4 linked regions of the Ovis aries genome follow. The protein of the gene in region 1 purifies or fractionates together with the protein of each later gene. This does not show direct contact. Links are inferred from orthologs where the notes say so. Each region holds a gene or a part of one and is shown in the gene's direction. Other genes may lie near its edges.

Region 1 (4,338 bases):
GAGGTGCAGCTTTGCACGGCGCGCGGGGATCGTCTGTACCCCAGCCGGGGCGCGCCACCGCGTCCAGCCGCCACCCGCTAGAGCCGAGCCCTCACCAGGGCCCGCGCGCGCTGGGCCGCCTTCCTCGCGTCCCGCCCCTAGTTCTTCCGCCAAAACCTTTGACCAGAGTCTTCCTGCCAACATTCCTAAATCTCTTTTGCCAGCTCTTTGCGCCAGGTAGGACTAAGGCTCTGCTTTCGGGTGTGTGCAGAAACGCCGTTCCCAGAAGGCGGCTGACCTTTTCACCTTCCCCACGAACTCCTTCGGAGGGGTCCCTGGGCATTTACCTTCTCAAGGGCCTGATCCGTAGCCAAAACCTGTTTGGTCCCTGAAATGTCCTTGCTATTCCTATCTGCAGAGGCTTTCTGCAGCACTTCCCGGAAAACCCTTCGGGGACCGAACTGGGGGGCATCCAGAGCCCACTGAGGACGCGCTGCAGTGGGAGGCGGGGGTGGGCCGGCGTGACAACCGCCTGTAGCCGGAGCGGGCACCGTGAGAGCCCGGCCAAGAGCAACACCCCGCCCCCGCCCCCGCCACTGTTCCTGCTCCCCGGTGATGCACAGGAGCCCCGACCGCTGGACCCCTCATTTCCAAACCCCGAGCACCTGGGCTCCGAATAAGCCGGCTGGGTGGGGTCGGGCAACGACTGCCCCCTAGCTGGAAGGCTCACCACCTTCCACCCTTCGGCGTCCCCTCTGGCCGGGAGAAGAGGACATCAGATCTTCGGCAACAATGGAGCCCGCGGCGCGCGGCAGACACCCGGGCTCGCCAGGCGCCCAGCCGCGCGCCCCGATACGGGGCAGGCAGGCCGGGCGGGGCTGCAGCACAGCCTAGTCTGCGTGAGTCTACTGACTCGGCTCTGCGTGGCAGCGATACTGCCGACTCTCGCCCGGCTCCGGGGTGCGTCCCCAACCCCAGCCCCTTTCCTCGGCCCCTTCGGGCCTGATCCGCAACGTCCAGGGGCGCCCTGCTGCTCCTGCCCCAGGTCACGACCCCAGGTCACGTCTCGGGCGCCTCCCGAGGGTTTCGGAGTTGGGAGAAGCAGCCGCCACCTCCCGGGCGCGCTGCCTGTCTCCGGCGGCCGACCCCCCAAAATCTTAGCGGAACTGCCCGCTCTCCCCCGGGGGCCCGAGCGAGCATGCCGAGATGGGCTAGCCCGACCCTGGCGCTGCCACCGACCTCGACGCCCGGTACCCCCGCAAACACATCCGGCACTCGGCCCTGGGCACGGAGTCCCGGCGCCTCCCTGCCGGGGAAGATCCCAGCAGGGCTTGTGGGAGAGACGGACAGACGGACGGGGAACGTTCAGGGAGAGAAACTTGTTCCTCCCCGTCTCTTGTCAGGCAATCGCTGGCGAGCCTGTGCGGGGAGAGGGGCGGGGGGAAGCGAGGGAAGGGCTCCAGAAGGGGAGGGGAGGAGGCAGTGGGGGAGGCGGGGGTGCAGTTGGTGAAACTCCTTCGTCTCCCGCTCATCTTTTCATTGCTTGCTCCTCTTCGCGCAGACACCCCGACCTCCCTTGGGCGCCAGCTCCCCGGATCCAACGGGTCCAGAATCAAGCCGGATTTTTTTTTTTTTCTTTCTTTCTGGAAATTGGCGTTGGTGTGTGTTTCTCTACGTCCCTCCTCCCCCTCCCACACCCCCTACGTTTTTTTTTTTTTTTTTTTTTTTTTGAGACATGGCCCGGGCAGCGGCTCCTGGAAGAGGAACAAGTGTGGGAAAAGAGAGAGGAAACCGGAGCTAAATGACAGGATGCAGGCGACTTGAGACACAAAAAGAGGAGCGTTTCTCTCGGATCAAGGCATTGCCTCAACGCTTTTCTTTCTCCAAAACGGTCTGAGGATTTTACAGCTCCGGGAGGAGTGAAAGCGCTCCGGATCGTGGAGATCGCCCCGGTGCTCTGTTTTCCCCGCACGTTCGGTTCTCCCGCGTTCGCCCCGGAGACCTGGCGAAGGGAGGATGGAGAAGGGGCTGCAGCTCCTGTGCGCCGCGCTAGCCCTGGTCCTCGGCGCGGCCGGCGCTTTTCGCAACGGTAAGTGACAGGCGGAGGCGCGCGGCCGCGGGGGTGAACCCGGTTCCCGGCTGCCCGCTCCGAGCTGCCGGGACCCACCGGGGAGAGCCGCCTCCCGGTGAAGGAAACTTTTAGCCAGACGGAGAAATAAAGAAATAAGATTAGTCGTTGTAGGTAGGGCAGGGAGATTTCACGTCCTCTGACTCCCTCCTGAAGTTGGTTGTTTGGCCATGGGGTTTTTCCCACCTCTGCTACGAGGCTGAGCGCCCTACCTTCCCAGATCAGCGCACCAATTATCTTAATAATGTTTCCTCCCCAAGGCAATTAGAGGAGACTCCCTTTCAAAAATATGATGGCTGTTGAAAGTTAATGAACACTTTACCGGGAGCACTTCCTGATTCTCCGACAGCTCCCCAGAACTGATTCCTCTGGTGGGTGCCCGCAGGAGATAGCGGTTTGCGGGTGGGTGTTAGTCCCTCCTCCGCTTTTTCAAACCAGCCCTGCTCCGTCTGGAGTATGAATGAAAGTTATATCGTGTCAATAAAGGAATCTGATACACACGCTGTAAGGCACCAGGATATGTGAAAATCCCCTAACCTAGTTGCAGCTTCCACTTAGCTTTTAAAACCACTCAGTGTTAAGTAAATGGAAGACCGTGCTGGGTTAGAAGCAGTATCCTGTAACGTAAATAATGTGTTTTAAAATGGGATCTGGTTGTAGGCATGTTCAACTTACACTGTAAAGTAGGTGGAAGCAAGGGGGCGGGTGACATTATCTTTACAGTAAGTCTTCAGCAATTATTATTAACTAATTATCAAATATTTACTTTAGCCTGGCTTAGATTTCAATCAGAGTAATTAAGAGAGCCCATCCGCTACTTACCCGTGGTATATTGTTTTAATAAGAGACCACAAGTGGAGGGGTTCATACCGAGAGGAATTTAAATCACATCTTTATGATGGGCGTTAATCTCTCTAATATGCTTTTTAGAGGTTTCCTGATTGAAGCAATAGATTTCCCGAGCAGCTACCAAGCAGTGTTCTAAAAGATATGCTTGGAAGCAAAACACATACAATTGTGAATGTAGAGTTCAATTTATTAATGAACCTCAGATGATGGCATCCTTCTCTAGTCTGGCAGGGAATGAAATAACACTCACCTCCAATTGAAAGAGCTCCAATGGTTAGACTTTAGAAATTACAGTAACAACATCTGCTTCCACGGTGGCGGGTGTTCATAGGATGGATTTGAAATCCAATGCCAATAGCTTTCAGACTTTAGGCTGTGAACTCCATATGTATGTCTGTGTGTGTGTGTGCATATGTGTGTGTGTATATACATACATGAGAGATACACATACTTCCCAGTTTTCTTAGCAGAAATCTGGGGAATGCTGAGACCCTAAGCTGCAGTCAGTGACTTGACTGGTTAAACCTATGTTGCTATACTTAACAGTGACCAAAGCCAGTTAATGCCTCTAGCTCAGCAGACCTTTCCCAGCCATGTCCACCTCCTTGGAGTACCAGTGTCTGCTAAATTAATTCATTAACCTTATTTAGGACTAATGGTCCAGAATCATTAGAAACTGCTCGTTCTTAATCAAGTGTTAGAGAGATTTAACAGAGCCAGGGAGTCTAGGAGTCCGCATTATCTTATTACACTGTCACTTTCTCAGAAGTCACAGATTAAAGAGCTCTGGTGTGGTACTGAGTCCACCTAAATGTCTTCTGAAGTGACTCTGTCGAGTGGCTACAAGCAGTGCTGTTTTATTTCACTCCTTAACAGATGCCAGACACTGCCATGATGTTTGTACAGAGCTGGAGGAGACTTAATGAGATGGGGTTGCTTTCCAAGTTTTCTGCACATTTAAAATAATGCAAGAGCCTCTGCAGAATAACATAACAGAGTCCAGTATGATCATTAGCTGAGATTCTGAACTCCAGTTACAACACCATTTCTTCTTGGCAAACCTTAAGCTTCTAAAAGCTAAGGCAGAGGAAACCCTTATAAGGCTACCCCCGCCCCCCAACAGTCTAAGAAACAAAGTCAGAAACATCTAGCAACTGAGAAAAACAAAGTAATTTATATTGTCTTCTCTTTTAATTTATGGGAAATGATTTCTGTAATGCATGTAGCTTTATGCATTTTTGATGTGCACTTCATCTTTCATTTCCATTTGACCTGGTTTTCCTGTAATAAAATTCTGTAGATTTATAAATTCATGCTGAGAGCAAAGAATGCCATTCTTTTTCCACAGGGAATCTATTAGATGCAATATTAAAATCTATATA
Region 2 (3,563 bases), on another chromosome or scaffold:
GAGTAAGTCATTCATTCCTGCAGGGGCAGGTGGGCTATACCCTGTGTACACCATAGATACTTTTATGTTTCTACTCTTCTATTTGTTTATATGTGCATGTGCCTCAGTGATACCAGTAAACTTGGTGAGAACAGGAACTGTGTCTTAAATTCCAAGGCACTTGTTTAACCAGCGCTTTTCACATTGTAAGACTAGAAGGAAGTTTGAGAGCCCACTGGTAAAATTGCCTTTTCTCTACATAGAAAGCCTTCAGAGTGTGGCTCTCAAGCCCCCTTGTTAAGAAAAATTGGTCTGCTTCATCTTAAGAAATGATCATTTGTACCAGATGGTTTACAGATTTCACTCCAGGCTTAGGATAAAGTTATCACCTGTATTTAGTTTGTTACCTACTTGGAAAAACGGACTGGCTATAAGTGGATTTTTTTTAAGACTTTCACAGTTTAGGTCATTAAAGATTTTCTTTATGCTGTGAAATTTGCACTATTCTATTATATAAAACAAATTGAAACGAGTAATTTTACTGTTAGAGAATTTCTAAAATTATACTAATTTATGTAGAGAATTCCAAGAATTCCTGAAGAAGCCAGCTAGCCACTTTATGTTTGTCTTCATTTTTCATCTCCTTTGACTATAAAAATTAGTGCCAGAACAGAAGACTGTGTGAATTGCCCTTTTTTCCCTACTCTGGTTTGGGCTGCTGTCCTGGTATTTTGCTGCACCTGTGACTCACACCGTAATTGTGGCTCTTCTCTGCATGAGTGTCCTTACGCAGAATCTCCTCTAGGGAGCGCCCCACTACTGCCAGGACATCTTTTTTGTTGGAGATCATTGTGAGCCAGCTGCCCTGAAGGCGTTAAAGACAGCGCCATCATTTGTGGGAAATAAGAGTCTCTCAGTGCCCTGAAAATGTGATGTGTTCAAAAAATTAGATGTACTTAAATACAGAATTCCCTGGAGAAGGAAATGACAACCCCCTCCAGTATTCTTGCCTGGAAAATGCCATGGACAGAGAAGCCTACAGGGGGCTACAGTCCATAGGGTCGCAAAGAGTCAGACATAGCTGAGAGTCAGACAAAACTGAGCGACTAAACAACAACAGGATTCCAGTTTCAGTTCACAGTTCAAGGAAGTTTCATTAATTTGCTCAGGGTAATGAAAATTGGGGAGTCCTGTATTCTAAATAATCTAGGGTCTTGCATAAATTATTGGTATCTCAAAGGAATAAACTAGCATTTCATTTGAAGTTTACAGGCTCTTAGTAAGGATTGCACAGTTTAGCATTGTACATTTGTTATAGGAATATTAAATGCTTGAGTTTTCTCTTATGTTTTTTGTTTGTTTCATAATGCAGAAAATTATGATCCATTATTCATGCACCCTGATCTGTCTTGTGGAATACATACTGGTAGCTGTGGGCATATTATGCATGCACACTGTTGGCAAAGGTAATTTATATTCTTAATATTAGTCAAGAGACGCTTACCCAAAGACTCAAAATCTAATTTTTTTAATAAAGGAAATTACATTCTGGAAAAAGGGGAGAAAACTAAACACATTTGAAGGAGAAAAGACTCCATTATTACTGCCTAACAAATAACAATTAAAATTAATTTGCTTTGTCAGTACATTTAAAGGAGTGACTTAGAAACTTCATAGTATATCAAATATAATTTTTAATTTAGGGGTCTGTATTTTTTAATATGGGAAATCTAATAGACTGGATGAAGAAAAGGATTTCTACAATGGTATAAACCCAAGAAGAATGTCTTTCTTCGGGTCCAAGGTGAACAACTCATGACTCTGAAGATGCTAGCACTTGCCTAGTTGCCTCTCAAGATTGTCATGGCTCCCTGAGCTAATATGGAATAACTTCAAACTTACTGTATTTCGGTGTTTTCTAAGCTTCTGCAGTAGCAGAAGTGCCGTTATTCTAGTACTCTGCTCACTGAGTTGTCCTGAACCACCCCAAGTAAGTAGCACTAGCCCTGGGGGAGAAACCACAGCTCACTAGGGCCAAGAAATATGCTACTTGGTGACTGACTGTTTGCGAGGCAATCTTCTTTTAATTCTCTTGTTTTAGAACTCTTAGCCCTTTTTGCTAATTACTACAATGTAAAGTATCACTTTAAAAAATAATTGCGGTCATTTTAAAATTTTAATTTTTAGATGTTTTGTGGAAACAAAATGTTGAAGCTTGTGGCTCTCATTTAGAAAAAAAGAATTGCCATTGTTTTTGATACCTCATGTTTTCTAATTGTGAAGGTATTTTGATTCCGTTCAAGCTAAAGAACAGCGAAGGCAACAGAGATTACGCTTACATACAAGCTATGATGTAGAAAATGGAGAATTCCTTTGTCCCCTTTGTGAATGCTTGAGTAATACTGTTATTCCTCTGCTGCTTCCTCCAAGAAATGTTTTTCATGGGTAAGTTTTGGCTCATAAAACCTTTGTATCAAAGAAGTAGTTTCCTTTAGAAGGTAATGAAATGATAAACCACAGCTGGGTGGGGATATCCCTCTAGGTAAATGCATGTTTTCCAGGTACTTTCCAAACTTTTTATTTAGTCATTTCTTCTAGCTGACCTATGAGATACAGTTTTAGTTTTTAGAAAGGAACAGACCAAAATTTAAGTTTTTTGATCACCCATAAACACTAGAAAGGATATAAAATCCCCATGGGTTCGTGAAAACCGTCTCCTTTATTTCTAAGACCCCGCTTTGAATATCTCCTTCATACTTTCTTGAGACACTCAATAAATCAGTGGGGGGAGGGGCAGCTCAAACTGACCTTATTGAGCATACTAACAATTAAATATTATTTTTTGCAATTTACTGGCCAATAGAAGAATTGGGCCAAAAAGTGAATATCTGTTAGTGTATTTAAAATGTAAAAATTTTGTTATTTCATGATGTTTAGTGTGCTTTTTAGTTATTCATGATCATTTTCCTCTCAGATATGAATTTGATGGTATCTCCTATTCAAACCTGACCTTTGTATACATTAAGTTTTATGAATATGAATCATCTGTTTATTTCTATGCTACTATTTGGGTTTAAATTAAAGCAGAGTCAGTTTTTTTCTCTTCAATTTTAAGAGTTCAAACTATGGTGTCTTAGTCTATGCTACCGCAAAATGCTCTTAAAATACCATTAGATATGATGTAAGCTCATGCTTTTTTAATCAGAAAAGAAATATCATGGTGCTGACTTATATCTGCATTTGAACTGATACAGAAATTAGTCACTGTAAGATTAAGAATAGAATTCTCTACGTGTAAAGAGAAAAAACTCACTTCTGTGGTGCAGGTTTTGCTTTTTTCCCAGGAGAGTCAGTTATGGCACATTTGTTAAGAAGACAAGCTATCGTGTCTGATGTAGCTAGGTTTGAATGCCACATCTGTCCCATATACAGCCTTAGTCAAGTTACATAGCTCAAAACCTCAGTTTCCTCATCTGTAAAATGGGGACAATAATATAACCTATTAAGAAAATTTTGAGGATTAAATCTAATACTGTGAAATGCTTGCAACATAACTAGGTGCTTACAGCATAATAAGCACTCAA
Region 3 (4,200 bases), on another chromosome or scaffold:
TATAGTGAAGGTTCCCTTGATCACCCTCTTTGGGTTCCATTAGTTTGCTAGAGCTGCTCACAGAACTCAGGGAAGCATTTACTTAACCATTTTATTACAAAAGATAGTACAAAGGATATGGGTAAACAGTCAGATGAAGAGGTACCCAGGGCAAGGTGTGTGGGACAGGATGCAGAGCTTTCATGATCACTCTAAGCTGCCCCTCTCCCCCCATTTCCACCTGTTCACCAACTCAGAAGTTCTCTACCCCCTGTCCTTTGTTTTTCTACAGAGGTTTCAGTATGTAGGCAACGCTGATTAAACTCTTGAGCTTTGGTGATCAACTCAACCTCAGTCCCTCCGCCCTCCCAGGAAATCAGGGGGTGGGACTGAAAGTTCCAATCCTCTAATCACAAAGTTGGTTCTTCTGGGAATAGGACCCATCCTTAAGTTTCATAGGGACTACCAAAAAGTTACCTCCTTAACGTAACAAAAGACATCTTTATCCTTCTCACCAATTGAGAAGCTTCAAGGTTTTAGGAGCTCTGTGCCAGGAATGGGGACAAACGCAAAATATATATATATATATATATATATATATATATATATATATATATGTATATATATATATATATAATTCTTATTATAAATCCTAACACTTATAAACTAAATGTATCCCCCACACTGAGAGTGACATATTTTTACCCATTTATAGAAACATACACAAAAGCAGATACACTACCTCTGCTCCCAAGGCTTTGACAACCAACACACACCAGGGAAGCGCTCAACAGAGAGATACCTTCAGACCTTCGGAGAAACACAGAAAGGAGGCAAAAGGAACGAAATAGACATGGAATGCGTATGACTTGCAAGATGAACAGCTACTCAGGACAGGCAGCCAGCAGCGTGCCCAGGCACACCAGTAGTGCCAGGCAAACCCAGAGGGGTCTCGCTGGAGTGTGTGTGTTTCCTTCTCTCTCTCACACACACACCAACACACGCTTTCCTCTCTCCCTCAACAAACGCATACATCCTGCCTTTCACAGTCTCTCTCTCACAGTCTCTCCTATGCACACGCCATCTCTTACACAGTCTCTCACGGTTGTTGTGCTGCACTCATACACAAAATCTCTCTCGCACAGTCTCTCACACAGTCTCTCATACACAGCTCCTCTCTCTCATACACAGTGTCACACGCACATGTAGTCTCTTAACGTACACTCTCACACAGACTCCCTCTCCTGTCACACTCGCACGCGCGCGCGCGCCCTTGGCCCCGCCCCTCCGTGGCCCCGCCCCCGCCCGGGCTCCGCCCCGGCGGCTGAGGGCGGGGCGAGCCCGTGACTCGAGGGGCCGAGCCGGGCTGGTACTCGTGCCGCCCCAGCCGGCGGGGCGCGCTCTGGAGGCGCCTGTCAGTGGCAGGCGCGGACGATCCTACGGCGGCCCTCGGGCACTGGGTCGCTGCCTCCGGCTTGGCGGCGGTCCCGGGCGGCAGAAGTTGGCGGCGGAATGTGCTCGGCCGGGCAGCTGCTGGGCGGCGGCGGCGGCGGCGGAGGCAGCGGCGGGGAGCGCGACGAAGACCGAGACGCGCTGGCGGAGCGAGCGGCGGCGGGGACGGAGCAGGAGTCCGGGGCGAGCCCGCGGCGGCGCGGGCGGCGGCCGCAGGAGGAGAGGGAGCAGGTGAGCCGAGCGGGGCGGCGTGGGCTGGCCGGTTTCCCGAGCCCCACGCGGAGGCGGAGGGAAGTGGTCCGGCGGGAGGGCGGCGCCCGGGCTGTGCTCGGCTTGGGGAGCTGGGCTTCGTGGCGTTCTGGGAAGCCGAACAGTTGACCCCGAGAGCAGTTGACGGCGCGCTCGGGGCGGGCCGCGGGGTCGCGTGCCGAGGGCCGACCCGGAGTCGCGTGCCTGGCTGGGTGAGCACCGCCTTTTCCCACCCGTGTGGCGGAGAGGATTCTCAGGCCAGAGCCCGGGGCTCTGGGGAAATGCCCTCCATAACGGTCGCTTATCTGAAAGCCTTCCATGTAAACACTCTTCCACTTGGAATCTGTTCCCCGGGGCTGTGTTTTAGGGGCCAGCGACTCCCCTCCCGCCTTCCATCTTGGCATTTCTGAACACACCTAGCGCCTCTGTACGGTGTAGGTGTATTTCTGTAGCCATGCAAGTCAGTATCTGAAGGCATGTGTAGGAGCGAGTATTACAATGGATGTCTTGACGGGGACTCTCCCAGAGCAAGTTTTTGACATGAACAGAAAGGAGATCTAAACTTCATTGAAAAACTGAAAAAGCCGAAAAATTGCTTTCAGTTGTTACCAAAGGGAGAAAAAGCATGGTTCCAGCCATAATAAAGGAGAGAAGTTGGGCAATTTTTGAAACTCTGAATTTGCTTTCACTAAATAAAATATGGTGATAATAGGCGTTATAGCATGTATCTTGACAATTAGGGAAGACGTTTAATGAAAGAAATTGAATTATCCCACATAGTGGGATGAATTTTCACCATGAAATACAGTAGACCTTCAAAAATACCCGAGATTGGCTTACCCTCAGAATCCCATTAAAGCGCAAGAAATAAAACTATCGTTTGCCTTTATTACAGGGTATACTGTTGAGATCAATACCTATCTCCTCTCATTATCCTTCAGCATCTTTTTGTCACATTTCACAAACTCCAACATCACTAAATGCATTAATAGGTAATTTCTCTGCCTTGGTTTTAGGAAACAGAAATAACCGTGTGGCAGGCACAAAATATGCCTTAGCATTAGGTTTGTTCACCATGTGGAAGTGTAATTTTTCATTCTTTTGATGATATAGGAGATGGTAACTGAAGCATATAATTGGTAGCTATGAGATCTTCCTGACTAGTTTCCTGATGGTTTATCCGCATTAACTGTGCCATGACTCAGTAGCTAAAGGACTGTTTCCTCTTACTTTAGTTGTTCAACTGGCAAAGTGAGGAAAACAGCAACAGAAATTCCCTGGGGCGGGGGAAATATTATTTGAATTGAAGATCCCAAAGTAATTTTCAAGTGGTTGTAAGGGAGTATGTAAAATACTTCATCTAAAAAAATAAAAATAAAAATAAAATACTTCATCTAAGCTTTTGTGGATCTTCAATCAGCAGCAGCTCTGGTCTTAACAGAATTGCTTATGGTACACAAAAAGGGATGAAACAAAAAAGAATGAAATATATACCCTAGAAAACAGATATATTTTGCATACCTGCCTCTATCATTGTGTGTCATGGAAATTTATTTTCCTATACTCTTGTGAAAACGTTATCATTTCATTTTTATCACATGATTTATTTATGTACTCTAAGCCCACATACACAATACTTGAAAATTATACCTGAGATATGCATTCCCTCCTAATAATATATATGCACCAAAGAACTTCTCATAAGTAAGTCAAAAATAAACAAAGAGATTGATACAACCCAACCCATTGGTATAAGAAACAAGCTTTTGTGATAAATCACTTCTTGGTAATGAAAAGTGTTAGTCTCAGTCGTGTCCAGCTCTTTGCAACCCCATAAACTGCATCCTGCCAGGCTCCTCTGTCCATGGAATTATCCAGGCAAGAATACTAGAGTGGGTTGCCATTCCCTTCTCCAGAGGATCTTCCCAACCTAAGGATGGAAGTCTCCTGGTCTCCTACATTGCAGGTGGATTTTTTGCCATCTGAGCTATCAGGGAAGCGATAAATGTAGCTTTCTTTCAAGTGCTGAAAATGAAATTTATATGCACTGTCTTGTAATGACAGTAGAGACATAAAGATATTTGAGGAAGAGGTAAATGATATTAACAACTGTAAAACATAGCCTAAGGAGTTATTTTAATTTGCTTTTCTTTAGGCAGATAGTATGTGTGTGTTTGCTGCTTTAAGGACACGTGGACTCCAAATTACAAATGGAGTACTTTTGAAAACTTGGTTTGTAATCTTGTTAATATTTGGAACTTGGAGTGAACTTTTCCATAGAAACAATGATAGGAACAAAACCAAAACTAATTAGCTGGAAATGAGACAGAGGCCATCTCCTGCTGTCCTTTCTGCTTGACACACTCAATATTCCAGAATCTGAGCAGTCTCACGGATATTAAAAGAGAATTGGTCGCAGAGGCTGCAGTAATAGCAGAGGCTCCCTTATATCTGGACCAGGGTTATAGGTGGTGTGTTCTTGAATGCAGTAGCTCCAGAAGGCACCTGCCTTTGCTCCTC
Region 4 (3,563 bases), on another chromosome or scaffold:
GGGGTGGGGGACCGATGAGAGCTGTGAACCAAGCCGACTGCCCTTTGCCGGCTCTGCCGTGGTTGGTGTGTTGTAAGCCCCTCCTCACGCCGAGGAACGTCTCCGGGTGTGAAATGGGGTCGGGAGGAGAGGATAACTCGGGGGAGCCGGGGAGCAGGCACTTTTCCTGAGGAGCAGGACTCGAGTGCCTGCGATCCCGGCCCCCTCGGACAGGCCTGGAGGGGAGCAGGCGGCTTGGGACCACCTCCGGGGGCCTGTGTGGGGGAGGTGGGGTGACGGGGCAGCTCTTGGCGCTGGCTGCTGACCGACAAGGCACCCCTGGGTAGGACGCTGTGTCTTCTCCGTCCCCAATGCCTCAAGCTGCCCGAGTCCTGCGAGGGTCCAGATGTGGCTGGGGAGTTGGCCAGTGGGGCGGGGGAAATCGGGGCCGTTCCTCTGGGAAGAAGCCTCTGAGGGCCTTTGTTTCTCAGGGCGCGGAGCGGCGGTGGCCGCGGGCCGGCAGAGAAGCGGGTGGCGCGCTCTCCACGCCCTGGCGGATGGCTGAGCCGGTCCTGTGCGGGCGTGGAGGCCGCTGGGCCGCTCCCTGCCCTGCTTACCTCCCGTCGGCACGCCCAGCCCTGTGCCCCGGGCAGCTTCTCCCTCCCGGCCTGGCTCTGATTGGTGCTGCGGGCACCCTCACTGCCCTCTGCGCGGTCCAGCAGGTTCCACCCCGGCCTTTGCTCCTGCTGCTCTGCGCCCAGGGTGCCCCTCCCCCGCCAGCGTCGGGCCTGGTCCTTAACCAGCAGGTGGAAGGGCCTCCCCGGACCCCAGCGCGGGCCCAGAGCTCGTATCTGTCCCGGCTCCTCTCCCCCGGCCGGCGTGGCCCTACCCAGCAGCCGCTCTGGAATGAATGCATTTTTTCCTGGGTAGAACAGAGGCCCGTGGGAGTCCAGGTCTCCGTGGGAGTGTGCACAGCTAGCTGGGTGACCTTGGGTCTATCTGAGCCACAGCCCGTTCCTCGTGGGTAGGGGGAGTCCCCCAGCTGTCTTTAGTGGCCCCTGTGAGGGGGTGGTCTGGACGCCCTCTTTTGCTGGCTGCAGCCTGGCTGGTCCTCTGGGCAGCCCTGTTGGGGGAGGGGCAGCGGGCCCCCGGCCAGGCTGGAGTTTGGATGGCGCTTCTTCAGCTGGGTCCCTCCTGTTTAATATAAAAAGTAGGGCCCGTAATTGCATTAGAACGTGTGTAATTATCCGGAGGAGGGGAGAGCCCAGCCCCTGGTAATTGCAGGCCTGCTTTGAACTGATAAACGGTGAGTGATTCATGTTTTCTTTGGAGTTCGAAAGCACTCAGCCCAGGCCCTGCCGAGTCCTGAGGAGCCTGTTCTCCAGTACTGCTCTGCCCTGGCCTCCTGAGCTGGAGGCAGGGGCTGGGGACTCCTCTCCCTGCCGCCTGGGAGGTCCTTGGCGGCCACAGTTGTTGGGAATGTCTGGGCAGGGAGTGAGGGGTAGCTGACAGCCTGCAGGCAGGGTTCTGTGGCAGCACAGCCTGGTGCCCTTTCTGTGGGATGCTGGCCAGAGTTCCACCCCCCCTTCTGGGGGCTCAGCATCCCGCCTTGGGCCCCCACCCGTCACCCGTGGAGTGCTGACCAGCCGCCCCACCCACCCCCCCACCGCCTCAGTTCTCGAGGCTCAGCATCCCCAACTGGAAGAGGGTGTGGGGAGTGAAGTTGGGGTGGGCGGCAGGGCCCAGTCACTCACTCACATGGGCAGGTCCTGGGCTGGCCTCTGGGGCTTAGGCAGCTCTCGTGCTGGTGGGGACAGTGTCTGGGGACAGCTCGGGCCTCAGACTACAAGGGTGACAGACAGCTGGAGAGCTCGCGGCTGCTGCCCTCAGCCCGCAAGTCCGGGGACAGCTGAGGCGGGACCCTGACTGGGCACCCCGGCCTGCTCACTGTCACCCGGGAGACGAGCCTGCATAGACGGGGAGACCCTGGCTGGCGACCCGGTCAACCACGTGGCTGCGGGCCCCAGAGGCTACACGTAACCTGGAGTGTGGCTGCCAGCTGCTGAGCTGTGGGGAGATGAGATTGTTTGCGAGGAGGCAGGGTCTGGGGGCTTCTCGCCTGGGGTAGGGACAGCCATTGGCTGGGGGTGGGAGGTGCAAGCCACCCCGCTGCTGGGGAACTCCTCAGAGAAGGGGGCGGGGCCGGGCTCTTAGCGAGCAGGGCTGGGGGCGGGGCGAGGGCAGGTGGGCAGGGCTGGGGGCGGGGCCAGGGGCGGGGCGGGGCTGCGAGGAGCCCCGCCTTCTGCAGGGACCACACGAGTGTTCTCTACTACCTGTGAGTACTGTCCAGCCCGCAAGGCGCTTGGGCAGAGAGGCGGTCACCACCGTGGGAGCTTGGAGCCGGGAGCCTTGCTCCCTGGGGGGCGTGGGCAGGCCCAGGTCTGTCGCCCACCTCCCGGTCCTGGGTTCCTATCTTCTCCCGAGCGGCAGAGCTCGAGCGGCCCGCGCTGCTGGCCGGAGTGTGGGGCTCAGAATAGCTGCCCCCAGGGCTCCAGGCCGGGAGGGGCTCTCCCTTGCCCCTCTGGCGTCTCCTGGAGCGTGAGGCTGCGCCCCACGAGTGGGACATCCTGGCGGAGGATGGGCACTGGCGCTCAGTGACGGCGCAGGTGACACGCCCTGTCCCTCCTCCCCGCAGGGCTGAGGCTCCTGTGATGCCTGGCGCCGAAGGACCCAAGCGCCTCTGCCTGAGGCCCCGGCCCGTCATGCTGCTGTCGCGCCTGAGCCCGCGGGCTCCGCTGCTGCTGCTGCTGATCCTGCTGCTGCTGCTGCTGGGGGCCGCCCCCCCGGCAGGCGGGGGTCTGCAGCCCCCTTTCCGCACCTTCACTGCCAGCGACTGGGCGCTGACCCACCTGGTGGTCCACGAGCAGACGGGCGAGGTGTATGTGGGCGCCGTGAACCGCATCTACAAGCTGTCGGGGAACCTGACGCTGCTGCGGGCGCATGTGACGGGCCCGGTGGAGGACAACGAGAAGTGCTACCCCCCGCCCAGCGTGCAGTCCTGCCCGCACGGCCTGGGCAGCACCGACAACGTCAACAAGCTGCTGTTGCTGGACCAGCCCGCCAACCGCCTGCTGGCCTGCGGCAGCGCCTCACAAGGCATCTGCCAGTTCCTGCGCCTGGACGACCTCTTCAAGCTGGGCGAGCCGCACCACCGCAAGGAGCACTACCTGTCGGGCGTGCGCGAGGCGGGCAGCATGGCCGGCGTGCTGATCGCCGGGCCGCCCGGCCAGGCGCAGGCCAAGCTCTTTGTGGGCACGCCCATCGACGGCAAGTCCGAGTACTTCCCCACGCTGTCCAGCCGCCGGCTCATGGCCAACGAGGAGGACGCCGAGATGTTTGGCTTCGTGTACCAGGACGAGTTCGTGTCCTCGCAGCTCAAGATCCCCTCGGACACGCTGTCCAAGTTCCCGGCCTTCGACATCTACTACGTGTACAGCTTCCGCAGCGAGCACTTCGTGTACTACCTCACCCTGCAGCTGGACACGCAGCTGACCTCGCCCGACGCTGCCGGCGAGCACTTCTTC

Evidence for each region.
Region 2: the proteins of NRP1 (region 1) and UBR2 purify together in Homo sapiens (affinity purification with mass spectrometry; 3 studies listed by BioGRID and IntAct, counting the BioPlex papers as one, with this or other methods). This does not show direct contact. The link is inferred for Ovis aries from reciprocal best matches to the Homo sapiens genes NRP1 and UBR2.
Region 3: the proteins of NRP1 (region 1) and FAM241A purify together in Homo sapiens (affinity purification with mass spectrometry; 3 studies listed by BioGRID and IntAct, with this or other methods). This does not show direct contact. The link is inferred for Ovis aries from reciprocal best matches to the Homo sapiens genes NRP1 and FAM241A.
Region 4: the proteins of NRP1 (region 1) and PLXNA1 purify together in Homo sapiens (affinity purification with western blotting; 4 studies listed by BioGRID). This does not show direct contact. The link is inferred for Ovis aries from reciprocal best matches to the Homo sapiens genes NRP1 and PLXNA1.

What each region holds. Positions count from the first base shown.
Region 1 is NC_056066.1:18,965,816-18,970,153, forward strand, and holds the start of NRP1 (neuropilin-1), read left to right. Parts: upstream 1-1,514; 5' UTR 1,515-1,995; coding exon 1,996-2,068; intron 2,069-4,338. UniProt on the Homo sapiens protein: Cell-surface receptor involved in the development of the cardiovascular system, in angiogenesis, in the formation of certain neuronal circuits and in organogenesis outside the nervous system. Mediates the chemorepulsant activity of semaphorins.
Region 2 is NC_056073.1:16,370,419-16,373,981, forward strand, and holds part of UBR2 (E3 ubiquitin-protein ligase UBR2), read left to right. Parts: intron 1-1,351; coding exon 1,352-1,445; intron 1,446-2,262; coding exon 2,263-2,424; intron 2,425-3,563. UniProt on the Homo sapiens protein: E3 ubiquitin-protein ligase which is a component of the N-end rule pathway.
Region 3 is NC_056059.1:13,754,748-13,758,947, reverse strand, and holds the start of FAM241A (uncharacterized protein FAM241A), read left to right. Parts: upstream 1-1,354; 5' UTR 1,355-1,491; coding exon 1,492-1,662; intron 1,663-4,200.
Region 4 is NC_056072.1:60,170,681-60,174,243, reverse strand, and holds part of PLXNA1 (plexin-A1), read left to right. Parts: intron 1-2,674; coding exon 2,675-3,563. UniProt on the Homo sapiens protein: Coreceptor for SEMA3A, SEMA3C, SEMA3F and SEMA6D. Necessary for signaling by class 3 semaphorins and subsequent remodeling of the cytoskeleton. Plays a role in axon guidance, invasive growth and cell migration.